2 linked regions of the Drosophila melanogaster genome follow. The protein of the gene in region 1 interacts with the protein of each later gene in a pairwise test. Each region holds a gene or a part of one and is shown in the gene's direction. Other genes may lie near its edges.

Region 1 (16,714 bases):
TATTAAAAAAAAAGGAAAAAGAGAGATGAAAATGAAATAAAGCCAAATAAATTAGAGGGGTTGACAGAGACGAACAATTCTCGTTGCTTGTTTTTGCGCCTTTTTCCCGGGGGACACAACTTTTGTGCCCGCCGAGCAATTGAAATGCAACGAATTCAAATGAAATGAAATGAAATGTCTGTGCGTCCGTGGAATTGGAGCTGGGGGATCGTCTTTCTCCGATTTCCGCGATGTCAGAGGTCCGTTTAGACAAATGAGATAATTGGCTACATGGATTTATGTGGCATACGAGCGCACTGCGTTTCTCCTTGTTTTTTTTTTGTGTGATTTATTTAATAAGCAGAAGGGGTCGACTGCTGCCATATACATACATATGTACATATGTACATATATACCATATGTAAATATACATATTCATGTGCCCTGATAAAGCACCCACAACGCACATGTCCAGATCCGTTGCCATATTCCGATTCCGTTTCCCATTTCCATATGTCCGGGCTGTAAAAATTTATTGGCCATCAGTCACAATTGCCAATGCGCTCGGCAATGGCTGCGAATTGTGGCAATAAGTTGCACGCGCGCACCGATAAGCCCCGCCCCCAACGACCGCCGCCCACCGCTTTGGTCCACTGCCCCCACGAGATTTTCCTTAAGCAGGATTCGCACACTCTATGTTGGACTTCACTGGATTTGGCAGTCGGGCCAAGGCGGCGTATGAGCAATATTGCATATTACGATCAAATTAAACAATATCATAATCATAAGAATAAAATCATGGAAAAATAGGAAATCTCAGATATAATTATTATACATATGTGGATGATTAGAAAGAACTATCCTAAGAAAGAACTTTGATTTTTAACAGACCGTTTAAGAAATCACATAATAATTGTATGCAAATATATATATTATATTAATAATTATGGATTTATTCCCTATTTAATGTTTTTTCTTGGCAGCACCAATTAATGGATATTAATGGCATATAATAACATTTTTCTATTTATAGACATAAAAGAGCATCTACAAATTGGCTATAAAAAGGTGTAGAGCAGATTCAGCTTTCTTCTTGCTCTCTTTTTCAACCAGCTTCAAATGTCCATCATTTTTTGTCCCGGTATTTCGGTGATTGGGGATGAGGGATGAAGGATGGGGGATGCGGGGGAAAAAAGGCCAGCCAAGCACATGGGTGGGCTGACCAGCGCTTTTGGAGGGATGCGATTGTGTGTGCCGTGTGGCAGTGAAATAATGGCGCCCAATAATATTAATACGTTCGCTCGTTATCAAATTGCGTTTGCATGCAAAATGGACGGATTGCTGTTCCGTCCCTGGTGCATATGTAGTACATACATATATAGACGCAGAGCCCCCCGATATCATATTATGTACGGGGATTCCAGCTCCAGCTCCTCCTCCTCCTCCTTCTCCGTCTCCTCTTGCTCCTCCGTCCGTTTGCCGGACATGAAATGGACATGAAACGAGCGCCATATTTAAGAGCCGTACGTGATTTGTGGCAGCTCCCCGTTTTGCTGGTCTTCTAGCCGGAGTTTCCTTCTCTTTCGCCGTTGCCATAAAACGGCCTAAACAATAAAGCGGGACTGGAAAACGTGGGAAACGTGAGCGGAAAGCCCGAACGGCATGGAGGTGACAACATGCCAATGCAAATAAAACGGAGACGGCGCAAAACTTTATTTAATTTGAAAGCTAAAAATATAAAATAAATTTTCCACATTTGACTTTTACACCAACAATTTGGGCAGCGCCGGCAGTCGTAAACCTTCGCCGCCCACAATGTCAGTGGATCTGGAGAACCCGACGACTCGTAGCCCTCAACCCGTAAGCCGTAACCCGTAACCCGTAACCCGTAACCCGTAACCCTCGACCCGTAATCCGTATCCGTAACCGTATCCGTAACCGTTCCGAAATGGCAAACTGCGAGCGTAACCAAAAACCGTACGCAAAGTTACGATAATCGTTTATTGAAATGCAAATTTTTTGCTGATTTTGCCGCTTTTAGAAGTCAATTTGAGTTTGAGTTTGCTTTTTTGTTTCGTTATTTGTTTTGTGGGTGAGTTGTTTTTTTTTTTTATTAGCACTTGTATTATGATTGTCTCAGTCCCGAACCGAGAGACCCCGCAATAAAAAATCGCACAGCCATTTGGCAAGTGTAAATTTGCATATTAAGGAGCAAAGTCAACCCTGGGGTGCCATATGCTGAGTTGTCACCTGCTATTTGTATAATTGGACAGTTAGTTTGGCTTAACCCCATTGCAGCAAACATTACGATGGACGAACCCATACCGCTAACTTACCCCTTTACAAAATCGATCGATCCATCAGAAATCAAAACGCAAAATCTCATTAATTTGACAGGGCAAAAGGACTCGGATTTCGCCCTATCCGGCGCTCTGGGAAACGTAAATATTTTCGCTAGGGGGTAAGCAAGGATACAAAAAGATGCTGACGATAAGGTCCTGCCGGGGGGGGGGGGGGGGATGTGGAACTGATGCAACTGTCAAATTGTCAGGGACTCGGAGTTTTCAAAAACCAGATACTCTCATTCCGATTCGATGGGGTGGCTGCGGTTTTTGAGCGCGGTTCTTACTATTTACAAAACTGCAAGATACGACTGATAAGATAAATAATTGGAATATGAAGCTGGTAAGAGCAGCCCCCTTCACACCTCCTGGCCCCTCTTCCCAATGTTTGGGCCCTGGAATTAGACACACACACGCACACACACAGTTTCGAAAGTGTGACATGTAGGGGGGTGTGTGTGTGTATGTCTGCTCTCATTCTGTTTAATCACAGCAAATAATTAAATGTCCATTTCACAGGCGCAACGTAAGTGTCGCCGCAGCCCCCTCACCCCACCCCACCCCTCACCCTCGTCACCCATCGACCGTTCGATATATGTATATGGGATATAGAAGGGCCGAATCTGGATTCGAAATCTGAACCCGACCCCTCGACCTCGATGGCGATGCGACACGTGTGCGACAAGCGGCATTTGTATTAAGACTTAATTTAAGTGCTTATCACCCAAAACAAATCAACGAACCCCTCCCCCTCCCATCTGACATTTTGTATGAGTAACGCTCACCTAATGAAGTTATTAGACTCACGCACATACAATGCCCCAACCACCCACTCCCACCCACAATTACATATATGCTCCATTCCTGACCAGACATCGGCGATAACGTTGCGAGTAGTAGGGGCTTGATTTTGGCAGGATAGGGTATCTTCCCTAGATTCGGGTATATGGGTTCGGCCAAATGGTATGGCATAAAAATTCGCATGGGAGAAGCCAACAAGTGGGGAAACTATATTTTTCTAAAATAAATAAATACTTTTTCAATAGAAGTAAATATAGTTTTATAACAAATATATTTAAAAAGCAATCATTGAAGTAAAAATGATTGCATATTGAATTGGCTCAATATTCTCTTTTCACTTATTTACTAATAATATTTCCTAACCATAAAAACTTTTATTAAAAAAAAAAAAAAAACCCATATGTAGCGCACTTTCTACTATCGAAATGCCCAAAACTCGATCATTTTCAGTCGCGGCCGCCGAAAATAATTTCTCCTCCTCTCCGTGACAAATGGGACTTCAATAAATGTTTATGATTTGACAAATCAATCGGGCTACTAATGTCACAATTTCGGTGATTGTGCCGCATTTTGGTTATTATTTGGTAGCATTATTCCCATTCAGATTACCATTGCCATTCCCACTCCAAAATCCGATTTCCCATCCCATTCCCACGAAGACCCCTTTTCCGGAGTCACTTATTAATTTGGTTATTTGCTCGCTGTCCGTATTATTTATTCATAAATTTTATCAGCACAAATTAAAAACAAATTAGTCGACAGTAGGTAAATAATAATAAAGTGTAATAAAAATCAGTGGGACAGGAGACAGTCTGTCGATATGGGGCGATAAGCGGGACAACCCGAATCGAATCGAAACGAACTTGATTTGTTTAATCGAATGTGAAATGATTAAAACTTAATATACATTTAGTTTATTTTGCCCGATGCCACTCGATTTGCCTTATTTTTATTCCGGTTATTTTTCTTTTTTTCTTTTTTTTTTTTTTGTTTACCCCCCATTTCTCCATCCGCGCTTATTGTAATGACGTTTTTATTGTTTTTAATGCGTTTTTAATAATAATTGATTTGCGATTGCAACAATTTGATAAACCAAGTAAATGAAGCGAAGAGCCAAAACAAATTATGTCATTGCTGTCGGAATGAAACGACAAGTTGGCTTATTTTAATGGCGAACAGGCCATAATTAAGCAGCGAAACCATTTTAAATGTAATTCATTAAATTGGCTGCTGCTTTCCTTTCAATAAAGGTGACCTTGATCACTAGTTTCTGGCTTATATAACTATACATTTTACGAAGCTCTAAAAGTAGCCCAAAATACTTAAAAGTCAATTAAAAAATATTTACAGTAGCTCATTAGTATATTGCTGTATTAAATTTATACAGGAAATGTTAAAAAACAAATAAACAAAAAAAGAAACAAAACATTTTCAGTCATTAATAAACTCCCTAAAAACCAATAAATGCCATCTATGGTTCTGGAAAAATTTAATAGCTATTTATGTTTGCAGTCTGTAGAATTCTAACTGCTTTTGAATTATCATAAATGTCATTAAATATTTATATGACATTTTAATAATTTTTTATGTATACCTTCTTTAGTCCTGAGAAATTAGCATTTTCGGGTATCTGTATTACAATCTAAACTCATCTCTGTTATTCCACGTAGTAACGAAGCATTGAGACTTTCGTCTAATTTCCAATGACAATTAATTATGTTAAGTAAAACTACGGAAATTCCAGGAGAAGCAGGCGGAAATAATGGCCCAGCATAACAATCAAATCGCAACAAAGTGTCACAAGAAAATTTACTTTCCAACAACTTCTAACTGAGTGAAGAAGAAGACAAAGATTGGGTTGTCGCGGCGTGGTGGGGGGGGGAGGTCTGAGTGCCCCTATTAGCGGCGAAAAGTTGTTCGGGGAATAGAGCCGGGAAAACTTAATAGAAAATCAAGCGCAAGAAAATGGCGTCCGATAAGGCGATGAGGAAAATGCTGGAGGAGAAGCGAGAGGAAAAGCGGTGGGGAAAAGCGAGAGGAAAGTCAGGCAACCAACGCCCCGCAGCAAATTAAATGAAAATTTGTTTGTGTGTGGAAAAATCAAGTGAAAATTAATTGAATTGAGTTGAGTGCGGCTACGGCGTAATGGTTTTGGTTCGAGGAGCTTGAGTTCGGGAAAGCGGGTGGGTTATTATATAGATCTTCATGTGGCGATAGCCCACCGAAAACGAAAAAAGGAGAAGCTGCAAATGGAATTTCCTTTTGCCCTTTTCTTTTTTACCAATCACAAAGCAATGATGAAGGAGAGTCCAGAAAATGTTCAGGGGGCTTACGGGTGGAAGTTCAGTGGGGGGGTTTTGGGTGGTCACTCCTGCCCACTCTATCTCCCTCTCTCGCTCGCTCTCGCCTTTCATTACCCTGGCTAAAGTCGTGCTCCGTCCCTTTCCTGCAGCCATAATTCATTTTCCAAAGACGGCAGCTGCGCATTGAAACTGCCTCGGAAAAGTGGGTGTATTTATGGGGGGTTCCCGGTTCGCCCCCAACCATTCCCCCACATATTTAAGACATTATTACATTATAATCGCATAAAACAATCAATAAAATGTCAGTTTTTGCTCTGCTCTCGTAGGGAGCAGCGCAGCTCTTGCCCTCTCTTTCTTCTCTGTTTGAGGGAAAAGCACCCCCCTTCTACAACCCACAGCGATTCAGCCATGCACTTCTTTCTTCTCCATTCTTTGCCACTACTTCTCTTCTTCCTGCTCGCTAGCCGTCTTCTTCTTGCCAGGTCTTAAATTGGCCATAATCATATTAATATGAAATTTCCCCCTATTTTTTCTGTGGCCACGCCTGCCGCTGAACTATGTATGTCTCGCCCGCACTCGTGTTCACTCTCGGGCTTCTCTGACTATTGCGCTCTCTTTCGTTCGCGCTCTTTGGTGGGTTACGCTCGCACAGTCACACACACACACGCACACTGATTCACTTTAAATCAATTTTTTTGGCGTTTTTCATTTCATTTTCCCTGTTGCGCATTGCACGCTCTCGCTCGCTCTCTCTTCTCTTTTATCCCGCTCTCTCTCGCTCTTACCCGCCTTGCCTCTCTGTCGCACAATTTAGTCAGGCAGAAAAATACCATTATTGCATTGACCATTTGTGGGCCAGCGCGGGGTTAAGCGTGCGCCGCGGGGGGGTTAAGTGGGTGGTGGTGTGGGTGGTTCCAGTGGGTGGTGGGTTTTTGCGGACGGCGCCTTGGCATGTTTGTTAAGTGAAACCATTTTTCTTTTTATTGCCACGGCTGCGCTGTCGACGTCGACGCCGCCGCTGCTGCTGCTGCTGCTTCAGTCTCGTCTTCTTCTTCTTCTTCTTCTTCCGCTGGGCTCTCTGCCTTTTTTCGCTTTTCGTTTTGTTATTTCTCGCTTTGGCGCACATAAATTTGAACGTTAATGATTTTTGCTTGCAGTTTGCGCGCATGCGACCCTAAAACAACAAGAACAACAACTACAACAACGGCAGCTGACCGTCAAGTGTTGAAAATGAGCTTGTTGTTGTTGCCGCTGCGGCGGCTGCAGTAGTTGTTGTTGTTGTTGTTGCTGCAGCAGCAGGTGTCGCCATCTCACTTTTTAGCACAGACTCAAACCACGAGCAACCAACCAACATTGGTGACACTTTTTTCCCCATTTTTCCCACTGACTGTAGTGGTGCCCCCATCTCACATACACACATATGCGCATTTTTATTAAACAAACACGAAGAAGACGAAACGAACTCCATATTTTTCATTTGTACGCGCCTGTCGCGCCATCCCGCTCGCACCGACTTCGCGATTGTCTCCACAAAACTCCACAACTCGCTGGCCGTAATTTTAATTCGAATCAATTTGTTTGTCGCCGCCGCTGCACTGAGTTCAGCCTTTTGCCCAGTGGGCCGCCGATCCGCTCCACTGTGCACGCTACGCCACATTTCGCTTGCTACGTTCCACTGTGCGGCCAGGATTGTCGCCTTTTTTTTCGGTGTGTGTGTGTTTTAGTGCCTTGTGAATTGAGTCCCAACAAAAAAAAAAAAAAATCGAAGTTAACCAAAAGAGCCTGCTGATTAAAGCGAAGTTAGCGCTAACCCGAAGTAAACACTATCCTGCAGTTAACGTAAGGCTAACCAAGAGCTATGAGGGAATATCAGAAAGAAAGCAAGAAACAATCGAGTCAGTGTTGAATTGAGTTATCGAAATCATTGAGCTAGTGAGGTGACAATATTAAAGGAAAATGAACTAGTTTAATTTGCAGTGTCAGCAAAAGCATTGAATTGTGTGTGTTCATTGCAAACGAGTTAATCGCATAAATTGGGAGCTAATCAAAAGCTAAGACGAAAATGGATCAGCTAATACAACAGCTGCAACAGGCAGCTGCTGCTCGGGGACAAGTCCAACATCCCCATGGTTCATCCGCTTTGCAACTTTACGCGGCAGCAGCGGCTGTCAACATGCAAGTGAGCGGCTGGTCATCCGTTCTCAACTTGTCCATGGATGCCCCAAATCCGGAAATTAGTCCCAATTCCGTAACCAATTCGTCCTCCGTGTATATGATCCGCCAAATGGCGCTGATACAGCAAGCCAGAGTGGCCGCCGCAGCAGTGGCAATGCAGCAGCAGCAGCAACAGCAAAGGGATCTCAATCGGGAGCTTGGCATGGATCCGCACAGTGAGCAGCGTATTAAGTTGGACTCAGTGTCACCCACGCACAACATCCACGCGGGTAAGTTTGATTAATTCATAGGCGATATTACTAGCTTATTCACATTGATTGATTCGATTTCTATGTCAATATTAACTAATATTCAATGGAAAATAATGAATAGAACATAGCTCTGGTTAATAAAAGCATGCACAAAAAACCACTCTATAAACTACGCATTTCGCATTTGGCCAAAATACACGAAATTGCTGGCCAAATTTAATTACGTGAATAATCAACAAGCCGCAACAACAATTACAAGCTGGCAAAAACACACAAAGCTACACACACACGCACACACACACACGCACACACACACACATTGAAAGTCCTGGCCTGCGGGCAAATAATGTTGTTGATTTTGTTGTTGTTGCTGCCGCCTGTTGTTGATTAAAAATTGATCAAAAAACATAAAAACACACGAATTATGCATGCGCGTATTTAAATGCGTGTGTTGCGCGTGTGTGGGTGGCGCTGAATTGATTAAAAGGAGCAATTCGATTGAAATTTTATTGGTAAATTGAATAAAGTGCACGGCGGCATAAAGGCCCCGGCCGGAAAACTTGTTTTCCATTCCAATTCGGCCATTTGGAAAATGCCATTATCTGCGCAAGCTCGACGCAAAGTTAATGAATGTAATGAATGAACAAATGAGTGGGCCACAGGACATCCGGGCATAAAATGTGGGTGGTCATAAATAACGCCATTTCGGAAGTGTCCTTGCCGGGAATTACCGCTAAACGTAGGTGATTAGATGAGATCGGCTAAAATGTAGAGGACATTTTGGAATAATTACTAAAAACTTTAATGGGCTTTTATACATACTATGTTGGTGATGATATTTAATTCATTTCTGATGAGATAATCCTTTTGCCTTTAAATTAGCATATTGTAGACAAGGTAAGTTGAAATAGTGGGAAAATGTTTGACTTACTAAAAAAATGTTGAATGTCATAATAAAATGGGATAATATATTATAGGCCAGTTCAAGCAAATATTTTTCTAAGAAGTTACGCTCTTAATAAGCTGTACTTTTAAAAAAACCAACCAAAACCATTTCCAAAAAAAAAAACATCAACATTTTCTTCAAAAAAACAAAGCACTACGTTTTGTAAGCAAATATTATTTTTATATATTTTAGTTTTATCTTACACTGATTAAATATATTGCTAAGCCTTGAGATCAATGAACAAAGTGGAATCACAATTTGTGAATGGAACGAGGCACCTGGCATCGGGAAATGGGAAATGGTGCATGGGAAATGAGCAGTGACAGGTGAAGTCTTGCTTTCCTTTCGGTGTCTTTTCCTCCTTGTTTTTTTATATATTTTTTTTGCCCAGGTCACGCCCAATCCGGGAAACGCCTGTATTTCCTATTTCGTACCTCGCCCTTTGTCTTTGGTCTTTTGGCAATTGAACCACTTTTGAGGCGCATCCAATTCCGATTCCGAATTGGCCGTCTTGCTGGGCCTCATCCTCCTACTTTTCTCGACGACGACGGGAAATTAGCTGCCATTAGTCATTTTTATTGTTTTCGGTCGCGGCCCCGAAACTACAGAATACAAAAAGAATATATGTATGTAACATGGAGTAAGGCTGAAGGCTGGCAACAACCCGGTTGGCAGCGCTGTTGAGCAGCAACATGATTGTCGGAAATCGAAGCTATCGACAATCAGTCATCGAAGGAACGATCGCAAGGCAGCAGTGGAGTCGAGTGGAAGTCAGCGTTGCAGTCAGTCGAGTTCTCAGCAGCAGTCGTTCGGTCACAAACTAAGAATACTTTACATAATTACCGCATTTAGAATTAAACTAATAATTAAATTAATAATAAACAATAATAATAAACAATCTTACATGGGGGCTCGTCCAGTCCTAAATCGGTTATATGAAGGTGCAGTTGTTTAAAGAAAAAAGACATTGTTGTGTGCGTGGGTATAGTCTTTAAAAGTTGTAAAGTTGTGGCTATATCTATTGCATTTAAAGTTGGAAAAATCAGTTGTACAGATTTTGTTTGAACACAAGTCGGTAAAAGTCGGGAAAGCTGCTAGAGAGAACTGATAAAGTTGAAATTGTCGTGTGCGTGGATTTAGTCTTTAAAGTTGTAAAGTTATGGCTACGTCTACTGCATTGAAAGTTGAAAAAATCGATTGAACTCATACAGACTCAAGTCGTTTTGCTGTTGTGGAATTTAAAACAATTAAATTGCAAAGGTGGTGAAATTCGTTTCTAACGAAAATCAAAATTTGTCTTTTAACCGGTGGCGCCGTCTGCAAAATCGACTACCGTCGCGCCGTTAGAACATTGTCGTTGTTTGCTGGTGTTAGTGCCTTGTCGCGGAATGTTCACACGCACACCACCTACAAATAAAAAACTTAACACCGACCAAATACAAGCAATTCTAGAGAACGAAAGCGAGGACGAAAGCAGAAAAGAAAAAATGAACGAAGAAGATCAAAAGTTGACGCCTGTAGGAGAAGCAGAGGCAAAGAAGCAGAATAAAGACGCTAGTGCTAAAGTCGAAGAGAAATTTGAACAAATGATGAATACTCTAACCCAGAGCATGTTGGCAAAATCTAAACAAGAGGGGCAAGTAATTATCGCTGCAGAAAAATTTGAAAAAGTTGTAAGTGACTGTGATGGCAAATCAATTCCTATTAAAAAATGGTTTGAAATTTTTGAGAAAAATGCCGAGGCATATGAACTTTCGGAGAAACAAAAATATGTTCAAGCCAGAAGTAAGATGATTGGATCAGCAGAACTTTTCTTAGAATCTGAATGTGTCAGTGGATACACTGAACTCAAAGAGTTACTAATTGAAGAATTTTCAGGCAGCTATAATAGCGCCGTTATTCACAAAAAGTTGCAAGACAGGAAGAAGAAGAGGGAGGAAACTCTACACGACTATTTGTTACAAATGAAGAAAATAGCAGCCTTAGGTGAAGTTGAAACAGTTGCTTTGATAACTCATATCGTAAACGGCCTCGACATTAAAAAGGAGTATAAGGGTGCTATGCTCCGTTGTAAAACTCTTAAGGAATTAAAGCAAGAATTCGAAATCTACGAGAGTCTGAATATTGTTGACAAGCCGAATATTCAACCAAAACCAAAGCAAATTACACAAGGTGTAAAAGCAGATCACTGCTTCAACTGTGGTTCGAGGGAACACAAACGAAAGGATTGTACACTTCCTACCAAATGTTTCAGCTGTAATCAAGAGGGCCATATCTCAAGCAAGTGTCCGGAAAAAGTAAACAGCATGCGCATTCACGTTGATAGGGCACGAACAAAGCCAGTAATCATAAATGGGATTATCATCAACTGTCTGGTGGACACAGGATCAGATGTGACCATAATTAAAGAAGCTATATTCAAGAAGATGAAAGATGTTGATTTAAACCGCACTGCAACAGTATTGCGAGGTTTGGGAAATGCCTCAACACAGCCGATTGGATGCTTCAGAGCATTAATCAAGACCGACCAGGTGGAAGCAAGCCACAACGTTTTAGTCGTCCACGATTCTAAATTCAGTTGCGATGGAATAGTGGGACACGATTTTATCAGCAAGTTTCGTCTTATCTGTAGTGCAGAAGGCTATACTTTTCTTGACCTGGAAGCAGATAAAAAACAAGCGGCCATTGTGCATACGCCACCGCGCAGCGCGAATTCGCACAACGAGATGGAAACGCTGCGCAAACAGCTGAACGATTACAAATCGGAGATCAATCAGCTAAAGAACGTGGTGCAGATGCTGTCCAGCGAGAACACGCAGCTCAAGTCCAAGTTCTCGAGCGCATCGAACAACAGCGTGTACGATGAGCCACTTCGCATTGATCTGAGCTTGAGCAGTCCGGATACAGAGCACGAGCCTCTGTCGCTACCTGAAGGTGGGACTGTCAATGGGGAAAGCGGCTCCTCCAATGATTCATCAAATCAGTCGACCATCAAGCGTCCAGCCAGCATGTACGAGCGTCGTTTGGTACCCAATGTGGCCAAGGGCAATACGGACATACGAAATACGACCAGCATGTACCAAATGGCTGGGGATGGCAAACCTTTTGGTGAGGAGGTCAAAGTGCGCTCTGACTTGGTCACACGCCGTCTTAAGGAGCTCATAAGAGCTATGCAGCCAGTGCCAGAGGATCGGTTACTGGAACTGCTCCAAGAAGAAGTGGTCTGTCAATTCAGCGAGGACCGCTATGAGATGAGACAGCTGGTAAAACGCAACATCGAGCAGGCGCAGAAGGACTACAAGCGCAATTACGACAAAAAGCGCCGAGCTGAATACAAATACAAAGCAGGTGATCTGGTTGCAATTAAAAGGACCCAATTTGTAGCTGGCCGCAAGATGGCAAGCGGGTATTTAGGTCCATACGAAGTCACAGGGGTCAAAGACAATGGCAGATATGACGTTAAAAAAGCAGCAAACGTCGAAGGACCCAATGTCACATCCACCAGCTGTGACAACATGAAGTTGTGGAAGTACATAGCCGAAAATGCAGACCTATTGTCATCCGGGTCGGATGATGATGATCAGGAGGGCCGAATGTAACATGGAGTAAGGCTGAAGGCTGGCAACAACCCGGTTGGCAGCGCTGTTGAGCAGCAACATGATTGTCGGAAATCGAAGCTATCGACAATCAGTCATCGAAGGAACGATCGCAAGGCAGCAGTGGAGTCGAGTGGAAGTCAGCGTTGCAGTCAGTCGAGTTCTCAGCAGCAGTCGTTCGGTCACAAACTAAGAATACTTTACATAATTACCGCATTTAGAATTAAACTAATAATTAAATTAATAATAAACAATAATAATAAACAATCTTACATGTATATATGTATAAAAAAGAGAGCTGGCACAAGTCGGGGAAAACGGGGCACAGAAAACTGTAAGGAGAGCGATGGAAAACCAGCGGGGAAAGTCGAGGGGGGAAGACCTGTGGAAATTGGGCAGCCAAACAATTTGTGGCAGCAATTTTTCTTAACATTTTTCGTGAACCCAAAGAGAGGTAGAGAAAAAAAAGGTCGAACTCGAAGCGAAATGTCTTAATTATTTTTGGTAGCTCCCTGCCCGCCGCTGCCAGTACCGAAAACCGCGTGCCTAAACATACAATTTTCGTTTACGACATTTTAATTAAGTTTTCCCCATTTTCCTCTGCTTGTGGAAATTGGTCAAATTAATAAGAACGCCATTGGCACACCCCGTCAGGTTGCCTTTATTCGGTTTCTCTGTTTCTTGTGTTTTCTAACATTTTTCGGGCCCAAACATAAAGGGGCCCCCTCCCGACCAGCGATCATCAGTCCATCGGTGATGAATGAATTGAGTTGTTGGCTCCCAATACCAGGTGATTCCAGGTGATCTCCGGTGATCTCCGCTGATCCGCTCCAGCCGATGGCCGCTCATTAGACAGCGCTGACCGCGAGCGCTTCTGGTAATTGCCATCATTTCAAGGGACTTCAAGGGGTTTTCGATGGAGCTGAACTACCGGGAGAACTCAACTGAACTACTAGACCCATAGATTAATTGTGATTGTGTCGAGTGGAAAATAAAGATGGAAACAGGTACAGCTGCACGGCGAGAAACTGAGGCTTCCATGCAATGGGTTTATAAAGGCATGAAATGATTTTTAAATTTGATTAGTTTTCTCAGTTCTTAAAGTATTTTTCATCTCTAAATATTTTATTAATATATTATTATATTAAAATAACAAGCCATAGAATAAATCAATATAATTGGTAATCAGTTCTATATAGTTATCAAATTATTTCCTAAGAAGCCTCCTTTTATTTATTATTTATTCTCCAGCATTTTTGCCAAGTGTAGATGATAGATGCTCCGCATGGACGAATGAATGAGTGCTGATCCGAAGATTTCTCTCGCCCAAAAGTGAAAGATTTAGTGAGTGGATGGGAAGGGAGTAGAGCGGAGTGGAGGGGAGGGGCCGAAAACAAGACTGGAAGCCCGAAGAGCCGAAAAGCGAACAACGCAACCCATCAACATCAGCGACTAATGGGACTCTTGTTCGCATCGGAGAAAAGGGGGCAATTGGAAGGGATAGCTATAGGGTATGGGGGGTATGGCGTATTGGTCCAATTTCCACCGAGATTTTCCTTGGCTAATTAATAAAACGCTCAGTGGGCTCGTTGCACTAATTGGTCCGATCGTCGGGCCCCTGATGAGCTTTTGACGAGCTCTCCGCTTTATTTATTTATTTTCTTTTTTTTTTGTTTTGCGCTTGGCCCGGGAAATGATAATTATTTAAGTGGGACCCCATTTAGGCGGTTGCCAAAAGCGAACGAGAAACAAGAAATCGGAGCACTATCAAAAATAAAGCAAAGCGCCCTTATATCGCTCTAAATACTGCAACCCATCCATGTCGTCCTTGCATTTGCATTAGCATTTGCATAATTTATGAGGGCGACAACCCTGGCCGGTGGCCATAAATTCAGCAGAATGGCAGCCAGCCAAAATAGAAGCCAACATCTTTTTTCTAGGCCGACTGCGAATGCATTTTGGCAGCTCTTTTTACCCACTACCAAGTGGCGCGTCTCTCTGGTCCCTCCAATTCCAATATTTGCAACTGCCTTTATTTTGTGCCCCACCCCTTTGGGTGGACTAATAAAAATCAAAAGGCGTTTTGTTCTCTAAACTTAAATTGAAAACACTTTAGGCCAGTCCTGCCCCAAAAAACCGTTCCCCTGCCAAAAAAAAAACGAAAAAAAAACTAAAGGATAAACACTTCAAGGGGCGGATTTGGCTTAGTGCACCCCTTTCCTCACCCCAACTCCCCCCCCCCTGCTAGGCCCACGCCGCCCCTGCTTTTCGTCGTTATACCGTTGTTGAATTACCGTTTAGCACAAAGATGGCGGCGCTAGATAAAAACATTTTTTGGCCAAATGGGAAAAAAAGCAGTGCTTGTAGGTAGGGCAAAAAAAAAAAAAAATTTAAAGGGGTATTTTGTTTCGGCCACTTGACTTGTACCGTTCGTATTCTTCTTTGTTTTGTGTTCTTTGGCCATTTACAGTTTTGAGGTGTAATTTTGTTGTTGTCTTAAATACCTTTACAAGTGCCACGCCCTCGAAACGCCCTCGAAGTGTACAACTCATTTGGCGATTAGCAAATTAGGGTTAGACGCCCCAAAAATGGTAAATTGGTAAATTTATTGTTGGCCGCGAAGGGTTTTCCCTGGCTCGCTTATTATTTAATAACTGCTTGCGGTGGGCGGAGGTCAGTGGGAAGTGATATAGAATGGCCAATCAATCAGCCGAGCCCCCACTAATTTATCCCCTACTCATTTCGCCACTTTGTTGGCAATCTGTGTCGACAAGTGTCAAGAAATCAAGGCAATTACACGACCCAAAACCACAAAATAAATAGCAGGCGGGCGGTTTTTGGGTGGAAAATATCAAAGAGCGACAAAACGCTAAGCGGAAAAGCCGCAAGCACGTAGAATCGAGCGTTTTACCGCTAAAGCTAAGCTCACCACCACCCACTTTCCATCCAAAAGAAAAAAAAAAAAACCCCTAATATCCTGAAACGTTCTGTAACACCACCGAGAAGCACCCACACACGTCCCGATTTTTATGTTATCTCCATGGACTTGAGCCCAACAAGCGAACTCCCCTCTCGACGACATGAAAATTATGTAAAACTTAAGTAAAAGATGAGCTCGTCAAGAATTATGACACCCCAGGGAATCCAAGGATGTGGATGTATGCGTGTTCGGTGGTAGCAACCCCTAGAATCAAGTGGGTAAGGATGATTTCGTCGGTTTACATCGAAGTGTGTATACCCTACGGCATGAAAAATGTATCTTCTGCTAACGAATAATACAACAGTTATCTACATAGTAGTATTTTATACAATATGTTGGTATAGAATAAAGAAAACCATGTATATAGAAAAAAATGCTGATATTGGATGCATTAAGAGAGCATTAAAACATCTTATAGGGCACACTGAAAAATCACAGTATCCCATCCTGGCAAACAACTAAAAACTGTTGACCGAACAACAAAATCCAGCGGCATTTAAGTGGCAGCTTCGTTTGGGTGAAAACCACCCACGCACGCACACAATCACACACATGCCACACAAACAAAGGACACAAAAATGAAAACCCCACTCGGATAACCCTCGACGCTTGTTGGATTCTCTCGTAAATGCCTCATGTGCGTTTATATTGAAACAGATTGCCCTGCCATTCCATTCCATTCCCGTTCATTCCCGTTCATTCCATTCTATTCCCCGCTGATCTCTATGTGTGTGTGTGTGTGTGTGTATCCTTGCGACACTCTATCCGTAGCTGTGTGTGTGCGTGCCACTTGTTTCGGTCTCCTTTGTGAAATTGTTGCGGTTTGCAATTTGCTGCAAATGACACCGAGTTGGTGGTGCGATTCTTCCTTCTGCCTCGACATACTTGTCCTCCTGCCCCTTTTCATCCTTCCCCCTTCCACTTCCTCCCGCTCTCTTTGCCCGTCTGCAAAGACGACGATGGCGGCCATATTGCGTATACGCCATGTGGTTCGCCTCCCGTTTTCGCGCTGCGTGTGTGTGCGTATGGTGCGCATCAACCACCCGAAAGGAAAATGGAGCGGAAAGGGGAGAAGTACGAGCAATTGCCTACCCTGGTTACGCCCCCGCCACTGCCCACTACCTCCCCCCCTCCCGTTCGACGGCTTTCCCTGGCCAGAATAGGAAAAATCGTGAAAAGGAAGTGTGTTGGAGTGATGGGGGGGGGAGGGTGTGGGGAGTGAAGAAGAAAAGCCGCACGACACTTCGGGGCTAATACAATTTATACACTTGGCTTGGCGTCGTTTCGGTTTGGCTCAGTGCCATGGTCCCAAAAAAGTGGGAGTTACGGGGGCCAAAGAAC
Region 2 (16,659 bases), on another chromosome or scaffold:
AGGAAACGGCCCTGCGCTTGCGGGAGTCGCGCCGTGAGGAGCAGAAACCAGAGACGACAAACCTGCCGCCGGACGACGACGCAGAGTCGGATTTGCCCATTCGGGGCCGTCCCTCGAAGAAGCTGCTCATCCAGCAGCAACAGCAGCGTCAGTACCAGGTAAAGCTAGATCCGAAAGTCAAGACGGTCACGTCGGGCTCTAGCGAGAAGCCTTCGACATCCTCGAGTGCAGCCGCAGCCGGCGCCGGAGGACGCATCAAGGCCAGGAGAGTGCTCTACAAGAAGAGCGTTGGAGCAGCGGCAGTCGCCCAGAAGGCGCCCGGCGAGACCTACGTAATGCGCCTGTTTGAGCGAAGTTTGGACCTGTCCAAATACCAGGATAAGACTCCTTTGTACCCCATATGCCGCGCATGGATGGCAAATCAACCCAAGAATCCAGCTGTGGGTGCATTTCAAACAGATGCTTCACTCACGGCCACCAAACGTGAGGACAACGGCGAAGAAATCCTGTCCCAAATTAAAAGCGGCGAGATAAAGGTGATCAACCAGCTCCCGCAGGCCAAGTCCACGGATCTGCCCATAATTCCGCCTCGTCTGGAGTTCAGCCAGGAGGACAAGAAGCGGGAAAAGGCTCTCCAAGGTGCCAGTACCTCCGATCTTCTGTCCTCCAATATGAACCGCTGGAAGAAAGTGCGCGGACACTGGATAAAGCATATCAAGAAGTATGAAAAGGAGCGATATGAAGTTATTGACAAGATTATGAGCTTGGTCTGCAAAAACTGAAGCGTATCTAGGTGATTTTGGAAGTGGTATAGAAAATGAAAAATAATTTGGATTAATTGTGCACAAAGAATTAAAAAAAATCCTGTTTCCAAATCGAATATATATGCAAATAAGATGCTTGTACACTTTATATACTTATATAAAATAAAATCAAATTTGTCAAGTAGACCACTTCAAGTCTATCAAGAGAATGATAAAGCGTTTTTATATTTGCATATTTTCCTGATTAAAAAATAATATGAAATGCATTTGTATTGCAGCACGGAAAGGCAACCGCAGCTGATTTGATTGGATTATCCCAAGATTTTTGATAAGAAAGACATTTGTCATTGACTTGAATAAATGTTTATTTGTATTGGTAGAAGATGCGTTCCCTTTGCGGTTAAATTAGTTCTAGTTTAGAGCTGTGTATGAAGTTATCATTATTATTTTGGGTTGGCAAATGCTGCTGGATTGTTCTGGTTCCGATTATGATGTTCTTCGGCTCGTCGCCGGTGCGCCGGTCCGCAACCCCCTGCGATTTGGTTTGGGGTATACACATTGGGCATCCTGTGCGCCTATTCGACCTTGAGCAGCTCGACGTCGAAGGTGAGGGTGGAGTTGGGCGGAATGACGCCGGGGTGGCCACGGCTACCGTAGGCATAGTCCGGCGAGCAAATCAGCTTGGCGCGCTGGCCGACGCTCAACTGGGCAACTCCCTCATCCCAGCCACGGATGACCTCGCCCTTGCCGATGGTGAACTTGAATGGCTTGTTGCGGTCGCGCGACGAATCGAACTGCGTGGAATTCAAGGCGGATCATTAGCTGGGGATGGCGAGGATCGGGATTCGTACTCACCTTGGTGCCATCGTCCAGGGTGCCGGTGTAGTGGACCGTGACCTTTTGGCCATTCTTGGGATAGGTGCTGCCTGCGGGCGGGGAATGCAAAAATGGATGTGTGTGAGCGGGACGACCATATTGTCGCAGGTATTTCCGAATTGTGCATTGCGAAAATGCACTAAATAGGTTAGAAAGGCCGGTAGTTTACGGCATTTCTTGCGGATTCTAACCCAATCATTGGATACTCACCATCACCAGGAGCAATTGGAACTACTTGTACGCCCATTTCGATTAGTTTTTTTCTGGCAAATTACCGAGCGGAAAATAAGCACGTTGATTTCAGTTCGTCGCGTCGCCGAATGACAGCTAGCGGTGGGCGATGGTCGGTGAGCGGAAACTATCGCACACATCAATTTGATTAATTATCAAAACCAATTGCTTTCCGAGTTATCGATAAGGACGTTTTTGTATTTTGGCGCGTCCGTTTGAATTGTTTACTATGAACCGAAAGAATAAAGCAGTGCAAGATCTTGCCTCTTATCTTAAAGTCCGAGACACATTGGTCATTGGTCAACTTGTATAGGTCCCCCAAAAGTGTGCTAAGTATTAAATAAACATAACTATAGTTATATAATTTATTTAAATTCCTCGACTCAGTTATTTGTTATCAACTGTCACAGTTTGATTGCCATCACTCGCAGCTTTGTGTGTGGGGCTGCCGGTGTGAAGATCACTCGTCCTTCATCGTCCTTATAGTCGGCGTAGTCGATGGAATAGATGCACTCCATGCCCAAGGCCCCCTTCTGGCGAGCGGAGTAGAAGCTAGTGCAGAAGGCCATCATAAGGGGGAAACCATTCGATCGGCCCAGCTCCATCAGGGTGGCGGCCAGGCGGGAGCCCAGGCCCTTGCCCCTCTTCCACGAGGCCACGCTGGTCACGTGGGAGTAGAGCGCCTTCGGGATGTCGTAGCGCTCAAACAGATTGACTTCGCGCTTGGCCTTCATTAGTAAATGATACATTCGACCCCAAGCGTTATCCTCCACATTCTCGAGCTTCAAATTCAATGTTCCTGCATTCACATTATCGGGATAACTGGCACATGCCAGAACTAGACCCACAATCCGGCCACCATCGTTTTCATCCAGTGCCAAAAGGCTGGTGCCCTCGGCGATTATCGACTGGTTGAAGGCGTCGTTGATCTCCTCGTTCTGCTGGTGAACGGGTTCGCCGCTGGACTGGCACAGAGGCTCCGATGTGTAGTACTCAGCCTCCATATAGGCTTTTACCTGTGCATAATCCTCTGGGCGCATGATGCGTATCGTGACGCCATCTATTGTCGTGGGAGTCATCGCGATCCGGAGCTAATTCGTTCTATATGCTTTTCTTAAGACAGAAGAGGACGCCGATGTGTACATGGCTTTTATACTTCGGCGCTTATCACTGATAATGGCTTATCATATTTATAGATTGTTTCTGTTTGGCGAAGAGAAAGTTGTTTCCAACGGCTTTTGGTTTTATTTTTAATGAAGTGCCAGACTGACTTATCCTTTTAGTAATAAACATTTTTCGAATATGGTTTTCTGACCCAAAATCTTTGAGGATAAATACATCGAGTGGAAAGTGATTACTTAATATCAGATTTTGTAATTATTGCAAGGTCATGTGTCGATAAATACATAATCAACACAATATCTGAACAATAAAGTAGACCGTTCTACATTTTATTACTTTATTTGATCCATATGGACTTGCGTTTCCAGCTCGACGACCTTTATCAATTGCCAAGGCCAAAGTAATAATTAATTAATAAATTATTTTAATTTTTACATTTTTGAGGCCAAGACCCGAATGTGGGTATGGGGCGCTGGTGGATTATATATCGGCCGACCCAACTCGTCCTTGTAGTCAGCATAGGCCACCGAATGGATGCACTCACATCCCGCTTTCATCGCCGACCGGGAGGAGTAGTGATTGGTTCCGCTGGTGATGAACAGAGTGTGTCCCCGCAGGCGACCCAATTTAAAGAGACATTTGGAAAGTATGACCAAGATACCTCTTTGCCTCATTGAGGGGTGAACGGAGATGACCAGCAGACTCAGGTAGGAGGAGACTCCGAAGCGTTCGAAAATGTTGGCTTCGCGCTCCACTTTGGCTATAAATTTCCTGCTGCGACCCAAAGCATTTGGCTCCATTTCCTCGGCTTCCTTGTGCTGCTTGGCCATTTCGATGGGATCCATCGTCTCCGCCACGGCAATGCCAACCAGTAGTCCCCCGTTGTTATCGTCCAGTGCCACTATGGATAGTCCCTGCCTGATCACCGCCAGGTATTGCCTATCCACTTCCTCCTCATGCTGCAGGTGAATGGGCTCCTCGAGACCCATTCCCATGGGCTCGTCGTAGTGAAAGTAGTCCGTCATGAAGGTTTTCACTCTTGGATAGTCGTCCTCCTTCATAACTCGTACGGTTATGCCATCATTTTGACTAAGAATCATGTTGGACTGAGCAGCGATGTTTGGTTTCCCGGCTTGGTATACTATGGTTCATTCTACATGACTGCAGGAGCCTTTTAAAGAAACCGAACTGAGTTATCTACAAATACAAGTTCAAGAACTTCCATTGTTTGCTATATTCAAGGTGGTGCTCAAATAAGATAATACGTTGCATTTCCAAAAAAATGAACATGTTGGTATTAATCTTTTAATCTACCGATAGGTCTAATCTACAATAAGATACAGTTTCTTTAAGAGGAAGAGGAAAAAATTAAAGCAAGAGGTAATCACAATTCTTCTGCATCAGCAAAATGCAGTATTCATGAAGAATCTTACGTGCTTTCGGATTCGATTCGTGCCTGTCCGGATGACAGGATGGCGCGTTCTTCTGATCCATTGTCCATCCAGAAAATCTCCTCGTCTGTCCAATTCCGCATAATTTCAGATGGAGCGAGCACGTTTGCTTCTGCAAATGGCCAGATGTTGTTAACTATTGGCAGCAGCGATACTGTGTTTCCCTGTCCAGAACTCGATACGTTTGGATATATTTGAGAAATTTTCAAACATCTTCATAATAACCTGTCAAACAAAAGAGAATATCAGCATAACTGGCACGTGGTTTTAATAATGCCTAAAATTGGTTTGCCAATTTGATAATGATAACATTTTTCGAGCATAACTTTTCTTATTTTATTAGCATTCGCATTCAATTAACATATAAATTAACATATTAAATACAGAATTGCTTTAAAGGTTATTCCATTATCATACATCAGTAAGAAATCTATAGTAAAATGTAAATTTTTTTTATTTCCAGTGTAGGTCATTTGCATATGTGTAGTATGTTGATAGATTCGAAACTCACGTGAATACAGAATCAAATTACTTGGTCAATGAATATTATTATGAACTGTTTTTTGTTAGCTTTTACCATATTTGTTAACAGGCTGATATATTTTTTAGAGTGCAAATAAAGTAGTTACTTAACGAAACATTTTTATTATTATAAATTATATATTATTATAAACTGTTATCAAAATCATCGCTGTTACAAAATAAGAATTATAATATTGCTTGCATATTATAATTCGATATATCTATTTCTCTCAGTGCAAATTTATGCGAACAAAATATAGTTTTATAATGCGTGCCTCCATTGACTTCGTCACATATAAAAAGAGACGATTCTCCGGTGACTCCCAGTATCAAAAATAAAGCTATGAAGAAGTTATTTGCGGGACTCGCATGCATCCTTTTGGTGGCATTACTACTTTGGTAGGTAAAAAAAAAACGGATTACAGTGAATTGCTTCTGATATATTCTGATGATTTGTGACAGGAGTTATAAATACTTTTCCGGACAAAAAACCACAACACCGCTCCTGCCGATGGTTATCAACACCTGGCCCTTTGCGGAAGCCAAAAAGGAGGCGTGGCGACTGCTCAATGTGAAAAAGGGCGGACTTGGACAGACGAGAAGCGCCGTTGTGGGCGGTATATCCATGTGCGAAAAGCTGCAGTGCGCCAAGACTGTTGGCTACGGCGGCAATCCCGACGAGCGCGGAGATACATCCCTGGATGCCTTGCTTATGGATGGAGGCACCATGGAGGTGGGTGCTGTGGGCGATCTGCGACGGATCAGAAGTGCCATCAAGGTGGCGCAACATGTCTTGGAACACACGCTTCACACCCTGCTAGTTGGCGATGGGGCCGATGAGTTCGCCAATGCCATGGGATTGCAGTACGAATCACTAAACTCTGAGGACAACATAGAGTCATTGAAAAATTGGACGAGGCACAACTGCCAGCCAAACTTTTGGCGAAATGTCCACCCGGATCCGAGGACCTCCTGCGGTCCCTACCAGCCCTTGGTCACATGGGATCCGAATGCCAAGCAATCGGATCGGATCGAAATTGGTCCCGATAACCACGACACCATCACCATGGCCGCCATCGATGAGGAGGGTCACATCCATGTGGGCACCTCCACCAACGGACTACGCTACACGCTGCCCGGACGTGTTGGCGACGCCTCGATTCCCGGCTCCGCTGCCTATGCGGATAACGAAGTGGGCGCCGCTGTTACCACTGGAGATGGAGACATCCTTATGCGCTTCCTGCCCTCTCTCCTGGCGGTGGAGGCCATGCGGGCGGGCAAAACACCGGCGGAGGCAGTCGAGTTGGTCATCCAGCGAATCCAGAAGCACGTAAAGTATTTCGAAGTCGCCGTTATCGTTGCAAACCGGCTTGGAACGTACGCAGTCAGGTGCCATGGTACTGGCATGGCCAGGGATAATGGAAAGTTTGCCTATATGGTCAGTAGTCCGGGACAACCGGTGCGCACGGAATCGGTTGAGTGCTCAGCGAATCCTGAGAAATCTCCTTCCGAAGACGATAGACAAGTTATTTGGTAATGTTTACTAATTTTGTTAGACTATAAATCTTATAATTGTTATGCACTTAGCCATTTTAAAATGTATCTGAAACCAGGAGTAGAAGAATTACGATTAGCTCCTGCATAAAAGAAAATGTGCCTCAGATTAGACCTATCGGTAGATTAAAAGGCTGAATAAAAGCATGTTCATTTTTTGCAAATGGCACGCAAACATTATCTATCATATCATATCTGAATATAGAAAATAATAAAAGTTATTATGCTTGTATTTGTTGATAACTCAGTTCGGTTTCTTTAAAAGGCTCCTGCAGTCATGTAGAATGAACCATAGTTTATCAAGCCGGGAAACCAAACATCGCTGCTCAGTCCAACATGATTCTTAGTCAAAATGATGGCATAACCGTACGAGTTATGAAGGAGGACGACTATCCAAGAGTGAAAACCTTCATGACGGACTACTTTCACTACGACGAGCCCATGGGAATGGGTCTCGAGGAGCCCATTCACCTGCAGCATGAGGAGGAAGTGGATAGGCAATACCTGGCGGTGATCAGGCAGGGACTATCCATAGTGGCACTCGACGATAACAACGGGGGACTACTGGTTGGCATTGCCGTGGCGGAGACGATGGATCCCATCGAAATGGCCAAGCAGCACAAGGAAGCCGAGGAAATGGAGCCAAATGCTTTGGGTCGCAGCAGGAAATTTATAGCCAAAGTGGAGCGCGAAGCCAACATTTTCGAACGCTTCGGAGTCTCCTCCTACCTGAGTCTGCTGGTCATCTCCGTTCACCCCTCAATGAGGCAAAGAGGTATCTTGGTCATACTTTCCAAATGTCTCTTTAAATTGGGTCGCCTGCGGGGACTCCGTCTGTTCATCGGCAGTGGCACCAATCACTACTCCTCCCGATCGGCGATGAAAGCGGGATGTGAGTGCATCCATTCGGTGGCCTATGCTGACTACAAGGACGAACAGGGCCGACCGATATATAATCCACCAGCGCCCCATACCCACATTCGGGTCTTGGCCTCAAAACTTTAATAAATTAGTACGAATTCGCAAAACTAAGTAACAAATAGGGGTGTTTTCTTATATCGCAAGAACCTTTGGACTTGACAATTGATAGAGACCGCCCAGGTGAAAATTCATGTCCAGATGGAGCTAATAAAGTAATAAAATTTAAGGGCTCTACTTTATTGTGCACAGATTGTGTTGATTATGAATTTATCAAGTACGAAGTAAGCACTTTTCACTGCTATGTAAACCACTTGATGATTGCAAACGGCATAAGCCTCTTGTGGGCTCACAATTGTACTTTTTCTTTAAAGTCGTCAAATTTATGTTTCTCGTTTCGAAAGTGCGTTGTATTTTATTTCTGTAGTGTATTGTTTTGTGGTACATATAGAAATTTTGTTTGATTTGTGTTTCCCTTAAATGATATGCTCACTAATGTGATCAATTTTAGAAAGTACATATGTATTATATTCGCTAAGTTATATGTATTAAATAAAGCAATTAGAAAATGTCGAATCCAAAATTGAATTATCTTAATTTAAAACTAACTGAAATAACCGGTTGGTGCTGCCAGACCTTTAAAGTGTCCGGTGGTATATTTTCTCAATGACAACAACGGTCACACTGCATTCTGCTCTTCAAAAAATATTTACTAGATAAAACACTTGGAATTCGGCGGATTTGAGTGTAGTTTTTCGACTCACGCATCTAATGCGGCACAGTAATGACATAAGGATCAAGTGCAATATATTGAGTGTGCCATTTGTTATCCAGTAGCGCCCCTATTACAGCAGGATGCAGGATGCCACGGCTCCGGATCCGGAACCCAGCAGCACCAACGGCAATTGCTCCGTTGAACATGACAATCGGCAGGATCAGGATGAGAACCACGTAGGCGCCGAGCGGGAAGCGGAGGCCAACGATGCCAACTGCACCGTTTGTGGTGCCGCCAAGGCATCGGCGCTTTTGGATCTGCGCTCCAACCATGTAATGCAACGTCGCCTAAGTCGCGACTGGAAGATTCATGTGGGTACTCAAGACATCATCCAATTCCGACATCCATGCCAACTCTTTGAATTCGAATTCTTTAATTATCAGGCAGATGTAATCCGATCCACATTGAAGGCCATTTGCGTGGAGTGCGTGTGCAAGCTGAACATGCACTCGGAGGTCACTCGATCCCTGATGCAGCGCATGCAACGGCTGCAGCGTTCCGGTGGTGAAACCACCAAGGTGACAACCACCACGACATCGCCCAGCCAGCACAGTCCACCCATTGCTGATGCAGAGGTGTCGACCACCTTGATTGAGAGTCAGGAGGAGGTGGCCCACAGCGGGCAGAGCGTTCGCTCGCGTTCTTCCTGCTCCGTGCTGGAAGTATACCTCGCTCAACAACCATATTCTCCATCGGCCAAGGAAACGGAAGAGAAGCATGCGGAGGGCTGGAAATGGCGAACACGGCTGGAGTGTCACGAATGTGGTCGGGCCTATTTTCGACGGGATTACTACGCCCAGCACTTGAGGCGCTGCTCCAAAACGCGCAGGAAGCAGCCACGTCCATCGCGCGTCAAATGCCGGGTACTAAATGAGGCGAGCTATGATGAAGAGGCGCCATCCAGAGCCATCCGATCATCGCGCATATACTACTGCCGGCATTGCGACGCAGAGTTTGAGACCTTAATCAGTAAGCGACAGCATGAGCGAATGAAGCATCAGCAGCGATATCCGTGTGATTTGTGCGAAGCCCAGTTGGACACGAAGTACGAGTGGGAAATGCATCACACCATCTGCCAGGCCAAGCAGGAGGTTAGTATGCATGTATCCCCCAAAAATGATATACTTATATGTTCCGTTTTTTCTGTACAGGCCTTAGCAATTGTGGAGCAGCAGGAAGCTGGCCAAACCGTTATGACTTCCCGGGTGCCAAGGGCATGCTCGATGCGCTCTCGCTCACGGGCATGCTCCGAAGCCTGGGATAGGTACGACATGGATGAGGAGGAAGAGGACGAAGAAGATGAAGAGATAGAAAGCGGTGGGGAGGAACTAGAAGAGGGCGAGGAGGATGCCATGTACGCGCGACGTATGAACTTTACTGGCGACTGGATTGTTAACCACAGCCGCAGCAATAGCAACAGCGCTGGTAATCTCTCCCTTTTGTACGGAGACTACGGAATGGTGGAAACGCACATGACCACCGACAAGGAGTATGGTAAATATCCTTTGAAATATGTTATCGTTCTGTATCAAAAAGTCTTGCTATCCGTTTTCAGATCTTTACCTACTGGACCTGCTCAAGACGCAGGTGCGACTGAAATCATTCACTTGTTTCACGCCTGACTGTGGCTACCAGACGGACACCCTAGTGGCTCTAATGAAGCACGACTACATGGAGCACTGGAAGATGAGCTGGTTTTACTGTCATAAGTGCGGCGATGTGTTCACCAGCAAGTAAGTGGGGCAGCGATCTTTTTAAAGAAAGTAGTTTATTGGTTTATTTGTGTTCCTTGCAGGGTCTTTTTAGACTACCATATGCATCTCCAGAACCGCGGCCTCTACATCTGCCATAAGTGCCGCGAAGAGTTTGAGTTGCAGCACCAGTTAGATCGGCATTTCCAGCTGCACAGGAAAGGGATCAATTACCACTGCAATTTCTGCCGATTGGAGTTTCTTAGCGAGGCTAAGCTGCTGGCCCATTGCAAAAAGCTGGGGCACAGTCCCAACGACGAGCCCCTCATCAGCATTGATCGTTCGCTCTCGATTGTCAACTGCCATGTGCCACGGTCATCGGACTATTCTCGAATAGTCAAGTCGTACGAAGAACGTGAGTTCTATATTCCGCGAATACCGATGCCCTCCACGCAGCCCATGCACTTGCCTCAACATAAACCCTTTCGTTTCGCTATCGGAATATGTGATTTCGAGGAGCGAAATCCGAACTGCGTTGGATGTCACTGATTACGAACTTGTTGTGAGCTCCATTCTTCGTCTGCAATATATTCGAATAGGTCATGCTACACGTTACTAGTAGAGTGTAAAGTGCTAATATGCACACTCTTTGGTCGAGCAACGAGGAACTCGACTATTGCGTTCTCTTTGTATAATCAACTCTAGTAAATTTAGATATGCATATTTTTTATAATAAATATTGTGCCGTTGTCAGATAAAAGAGCATTAGTTATTTGATTCTTCAGTCAGTTTATTTCGCGTTCCTTCGCTGATCTTTACATGATGAAAGTCGGGTGTCTAGGGATAATTTAAATTGCAGTACAATTCGGAATACTTAAAACTAGATTTATAATTCGCATGTGTATGTGTGGACTATGATGCTATGTACAGAGTTACTCGTATAACAATTTAACATTATCGACCGTACGACTATATAAGTTGCATAAGTGTAGGTGTTTATAATTAAAGAGCCTATTGCATTGCCCCCAGCGCATGTTTTCATGTGTGTTGTTTTTTGTTTTGTTTTGTTTTGTCTTATAAATAGTTTAGTTTTAGTGCTTACGTTTAGTTGATGGCCTTAGAACTAATCAATTTGCGGGAAACTTACAGATTTTCAACTAAGGATCTCGATTCGTATTTAAGTTTAGTTTATAATTTTATTTTATTTTATTTTAATGCGTGTGCTCTTGCTCGTGGTACGTTTGAGTCGGTGTCAGTCTTATAAATTCAACCCAGGACGATTTAAATATCTCGCTAACAGGATAACATGAGGCTAACAAAGATACGCTATTTGAGGTAGTTCTGTTCAAGTGGGATCTTCTGGTTTCTCTTCGATTCGAAAATCATAAAAGTAAGGCCACGTACATGCATGGTCGTTATAAATAATCTAGTGCTAATAATTTTTAAAACAAATCACTGGCATTTAACAAAGTTGTACAAGGTGTAGCTAACCCGCTAACCCATTCTGATGGGAGCCTCTACTGCTCTGTCCTTAGATAGCTCCTCCACCGCCTCCCGATTCCGCCTTCAGTCTTATGTAAGTGGGTTTACATATGCACACATATCTTAGTTTTGTCAGTTGGCCGGCATCTGGGATGGTGGAGTAACACTGTTTTAAGGCCTACAACTAGCTGGTTTCCAAAGATGGCCTACGAGTGCCTAGCCTAAGGGTACCTATCTGTATTCTATGCTGTCCTATCCTACTATCTATATCCTAACATTTCTGTTTTTTTTAGGCACAAAGTGATGCTGACAACAATTTAGTTTAGTGTGTGGGTTTGATTTTCGATGGGTGCCAGGTGCTGGTGCGGATGATTCCCACAACGACTGGGATGAGGTTTCTTCGTTTAAAGCTTCACCAACGCTGGTCGGCGCCTGAGTCGCCGATGGTAAGTAAGGAAAGTAACACAAGGATGGATCTAATTGGGTTTGAATAATAGGAGTTGCTATCTAAGCCTGGCCTACTCCAAGGAGTCTAGGCTGTCCGTGGCATACTGCCAGGCCATGGTGAGCGTTAATCAGTCGGCCCGGGCCTGAGCGTCCTCGCCTTCCATCAGCTCCCTCTTCAGACCAATGGGAACGAACTGCGGCGAGGATGGGTAGTCCACGTGATCCTTGCCATTGGCGGACGCACTGCTGGCGTGCATAATCACGCCGGCACCAGCCTCGGTTGGCTGGGGCGAGTAGGGCGATGGTGGCCGCTCCTTTCTAGCCAGCGAGAGATCCTCCACGTGCTCTTGCTCATGATCCTCCTCATCGTCCGCATCTTCACGTTCGTCCTGGTCGCGTTCCCTCTTGATAATATTTTGCTCGTGCTTCTCCATCTCCAAGTCCATGGCCTCCTGCTCGTGCGGGTAGTGACGACCTTGCGGACTTGGCGACCGCATGCCATGGCCATTGGAGCGCTGGTCCATCTCCGCTGGACTGCTGGAAAGGCGATTGGCAGCGGCATGGGCCGCTGCGGCCAGAGCCATGGCATGGAGAGCCTCTCGGCCGGCCATGTCACCACCACGGTTCTCCAGAGCCTGCTGAAGGAAAGCGTGATCCAGAAGGGCCGCAGCTGAGGGTGGAATGGTGGGCGGCATGCCGTGATGGGCGGGCACATGGTCCACCTTCTGATCACGCTTCACCTCCGAGTGATGGCCATGTCCATGACCGTAGTTGTGTGCAGCAGCGGCTGCCGCAGCGGAATAGGAGAAACCTTGTGAGGACTCAGCTCCCGGCGGGCTGCGCTTGGGTGTGCGGTGTGTGCCACGTCCTGTGGTGATGTTCAGCTTACGGACTTTGTCGTAGAGAGTGCGACTGGGCAGGCCGTACTTCCTGCTCGCCTGCAGGGCACTCATTCCCTCCCTCACCGCTTGGATGGCGCACATCATATCCGCTCTGGTATACTGCTTGTATCGCTTCCATTCCGGCTTCTTGCCGCCAGACTGACCGGTCTCCTCTTCAAAGGAACGATCTGTGTAGGGCGAAAGTGGTTCCTTGTCGCCGCCGTAGTCGGAGCCATTGAAGCTGTGGTTGCGCTCGCCTCCACTTACTCCCAATCCGGCAGGAAGCTGGGTGTTCTGGTGGGGATGAGTGGGCGTCTTCTCTCCATTGGCATTCATTGGTCCGGGTTGCGAGGAGTCAGCGGGATTAGCTTGGGCCAGAACGTTTCTCAGGATGGGTGTGTCGCGGTTTCCACTCAGAAGCATGCTTGAAATGGCCGACAGCTTCTTGCGCTTGAGAGGATTCATATCGGCGGCTGATTCGTAGACAGAGTTCAACATGGCGGCGGCGGCGGAGGGTGTCAGTGGCCACTGTCCACCGGCTTCTCCCGCTCCCGAGGCCGCCGAGTGGGGTGTGGCCTGGGTGGGGGTCAGTGGAGCCTCACCGGCCGGAATCTGACTAGCCGACATCGGCTGCTGCTGAGGATAATGGCTGTAGCCCGGCTGATAGCCAAACTGCGGCGGCGGTGGTGGCGAGCAGCTGCTCGAGATGGCGGCACTGGGCGAGATGTGCGTGGATGTGGAGATCACGGATGAGGAGTGGTTGGATGCTGATCCGTTCTGGGGCTTGGCTCCGCCAGCTCCCGAACTGGAGGTGGGCGTGACGCTGGCATGATTGAACTTCATCAAGTTGTCGTACAGACCCTTGACCTGAAGCTCCTTGGCTGTGCGCAGAATCTCCGGCTCCTGGCTCTTGGTCACCGTCGTCTCGCCCGTGTACATGTACTGCAGCAAAGCGGCAATCTCGAAGCCCTTCACTCCCGGCAGTATGATGCTGCAGTGGTCCTGCGGCACATCCTTCAGGATGTGCTGGAAATACGGTGAATTGGCCGCCAGAACCACGCGATGGGCCTGGAACTGTTCATCGTCCACCACCAGGCTGCAGTCCACATAGCTGCCCACCTCGTGCAGGGCGTGTAGAATCTGTACCAGATTGGTCTGGTGGTTGTTCCAGCGGAGGCAGTACGTCTGTCCCACCTCGCCACTGCTGGCTACCGGCGCCGTTGGGCCGCCCATCTCCTGGTCACGCTCCGTTTCGCGATCCCTGTCCTGCTTGGCCTCCCGCGGAATGTGGTGGTGGCTCACCCTTGAATGGTGGCTGTGGTGGTGCTGGTTCGCTGGCTGGTCGGGCTCCTCGTCCGGAGCGGGATCGCTGCTATTGCTGCTGTTGTTGTACACACCGTTCAGACTGGTGAAGGCGGCGCTCAGCAGCGTCGGCGAGTAGAAGGATAGATGCTTCCTGACCTTGAGCGCCAGTTTAAGGCCTACGGATCACCTGGTTGCCTGGTTAACGGAAACGAAAGAGAACAAGCGGAGAAAATGCCAATTAGTACGAGTTCTAGAGCCTCGGCCAAGCGATTAGATTTTGGCAAATGTCAGAGGGTTGGTGTGGAACATTTCAAATTTCGCATGGGTTGCTAAAATCAACAGGAAGCACACACAGAACTTCGTACACACACAAACAACAGATTTGCCCAAAGTGGGCAAATGGAAGTCAGGTGTGCGAAACTGGGGATGGTCGCTCCTCCAGTGCCACCATTTCTCTTTTTTTTTTTTTGGCGGAAAATCTTGCTTGTAAAATTTATGCCCTTCGCCACCCCCCGAAGTTTTATGCGCCGTAAAAAAGTGAAAGTGAAATGGGGAAGTTGGCGGTGGGTGGCAGTGGTGGTGTCGAGGAAAAACGTGTAGGAAAAATGGGGGAAAAAAATATGCAAACATCCCTCGAAAGATGTGTGCGCGTATTTTTCCGGCTGCTTTTCGCGCGTTTTACTTTTACGCATACATATACATATTCAAATCTATATGTATAATGTCAGGCTTTCTTTTTTTTTTACCGCCACCGCTGCCTGGAATCGGGCAATGGAAATGGGAAGGCAAGGAAAATAAGGGAAAATGTGGCTGAAAAACTTGCAATAATTTTCATTCATTTCGTGTACAAAAAAGGAAGGGGAGCGGGGGCGAAAGGCAGGCCATATGCCTATGCCCTTGTCCTTGGCATGACTTCAAATTCGGTACTCGGGTTGTGGTCGAGTTTCAGATTCAAGTGGACGCCATATGCTGGCATCCTGGCGTCATGTGTTGGCCATTCGTCAAGGAGTTCGCATTCCAAATTGCGGCCATGTGGCGTGTGTGAATCTCCAGTTACCAACAGGTAGAGTGGCGCAGGATCCCCCCATAAACGATAATGGCAATCAGACAACAAGAGGAAAATGTCAAAGGGGCGAGGCACCGTAAAAAATAAACCAGAAGGTACATATATGGCAAAAAAAAAATGAGGATAGAAATGCGGACAATCAAACAAAGGCGGCAAACAAACGATCGCATTATTGTCTGCGGAAAATGCGCAAGAGATCATCAATTGTTGTTGTCTAGCCATTGTCTAGCCGACAGGATAATGGGCAACCTGCGGAGATCCCAATCCCATTCCCATTCCAGTTCCCACTCCCGTTTTGCGCAACATCGAGCAGGTAAGCGATTTTGCAGCAAGAAGCAAGCGCATTAGATGCGGTTATAATAATGCCATAAAGGCGACGCCTCAACGCCTCGAAGATCGCGCATTGCGTATACGCCACGATCGCCAAATGATCGAAAGCTCGCGCCGGAAAGCGGAAAGCTTTGGCCAACTTTTGCTAACAGAGCTCGCCAACAGCGGCCACCATTTTGTGAGAAAAACGTTTAATTAAAATTATCACAAACGTCATTGAGGCGAATGCACTTGGGAACCGGTTTCGCTGGGCTTAGGGTTTCCAGTTTCTATTTTTTTATTTTTTTTGACACGTATTGGGCTTGAAAATTGCGAAATTACACCAAAAATAATTCGGAAATTTAAAGGTCTGCGAAGAGCACAGTGCTACTAAGTTATAAATTTGGACTTTTAATAACGGCAAATAAAAAGAAACCATCTTAGGGTTACTGCCTAAACGAAAACACATTTTCAGTTATATTCTGAGTTCGCGTTTAAATTAGGTAAAATAAATTATTTATAACCTTACCACGAAATAATGAAAATGCCGCAGGTGGGGCACAATATCGATGGTGCTAAGTGGCCAATTTAGTTGCTGGTACACTTTAAAGGGTATTTCGCATTCAGTTGTCCACTGTTGTTCCCTTGATTTGTTTAAATGTTGTAGCTTTCGGAGTTTTTCGATGTTAAAAATGTTTTCACATTCTCAGAACAGAGTTTTTTTTTAGTTGGTATTTTTCCTGGTTGTTCGCTCTTCTGCTCCACACACACACACAATTGCACAAAACACGAGATGTTGCCAAAAATATTAGATATTTTCCAAGAAACTGCGACACGTTTAGCGTTTATACTTGAGTTTTCCGCTCGCCTTGTGATTTTGATGTTTTTGAGAAAATTTTGAGAGTTTTGCGTGCACGTTGTTGCAGATTCGAGCGCTCAAACTTGAATAAAACTGCCACGGTTTTCGTGTGCAGCAAGTCATTGAAGACCAAATTTCCCGAGCGCTGCCAGAGCGGGATGGAGCGATGCACAGAGGGTGAGAGCGAGAGAGCGGCGAGAAAACTGTTCGAATGCGAAGGGGAAACAGGAAAACTGTGCTACGAATCCACCCTCGCGCCCTCTCTTTCGCGCAGTTGCAGTTTTGTGCGTGAGCGAGATTGCGATTGCGACTGCTTGTGTGCGTGTGCGTGCGTGCATGTGTGTGCGAGCTGCATATATGGTTGCTGCCATTGGATGCAGTGCGTGCGAGGGAGAGGGGCATAGCT

Evidence for each region.
Region 2: the proteins of OdsH (region 1) and CG11906 interact in a two-hybrid assay, tested with the Drosophila melanogaster proteins (one large-scale study listed by BioGRID).

What each region holds. Positions count from the first base shown.
Region 1 is NC_004354.4:17,783,580-17,800,293, forward strand, and holds the start of OdsH (Ods-site homeobox), read left to right. Parts: upstream 1-7,430; 5' UTR 7,431-7,487; coding exon 7,488-7,869; intron 7,870-16,714.
Region 2 is NT_033778.4:19,275,417-19,292,075, reverse strand, and holds CG11906 (uncharacterized protein), read left to right. Parts: upstream 1-8,114; 5' UTR 8,115-8,293; coding exon 8,294-8,524; intron 8,525-8,596; coding exon 8,597-9,304; intron 9,305-9,364; coding exon 9,365-9,707; intron 9,708-9,768; coding exon 9,769-9,946; intron 9,947-10,008; coding exon 10,009-10,453; 3' UTR 10,454-10,658; downstream 10,659-16,659. Other genes in the region: mip40 (Myb-interacting protein 40), read left to right, coding at 1-782; Fkbp12 (FK506-binding protein 12kD), read right to left, coding at 1,340-1,558, 1,620-1,690, 1,851-1,887; AANATL4 (arylalkylamine N-acetyltransferase-like 4), read right to left, coding at 2,276-2,950; AANATL6 (arylalkylamine N-acetyltransferase-like 6), read right to left, coding at 3,425-4,093; CG10474 (uncharacterized protein), read left to right, coding at 5,478-6,503; AANATL5 (arylalkylamine N-acetyltransferase-like 5), read left to right, coding at 6,857-7,525; rib (ribbon), read right to left, coding at 11,962-13,947.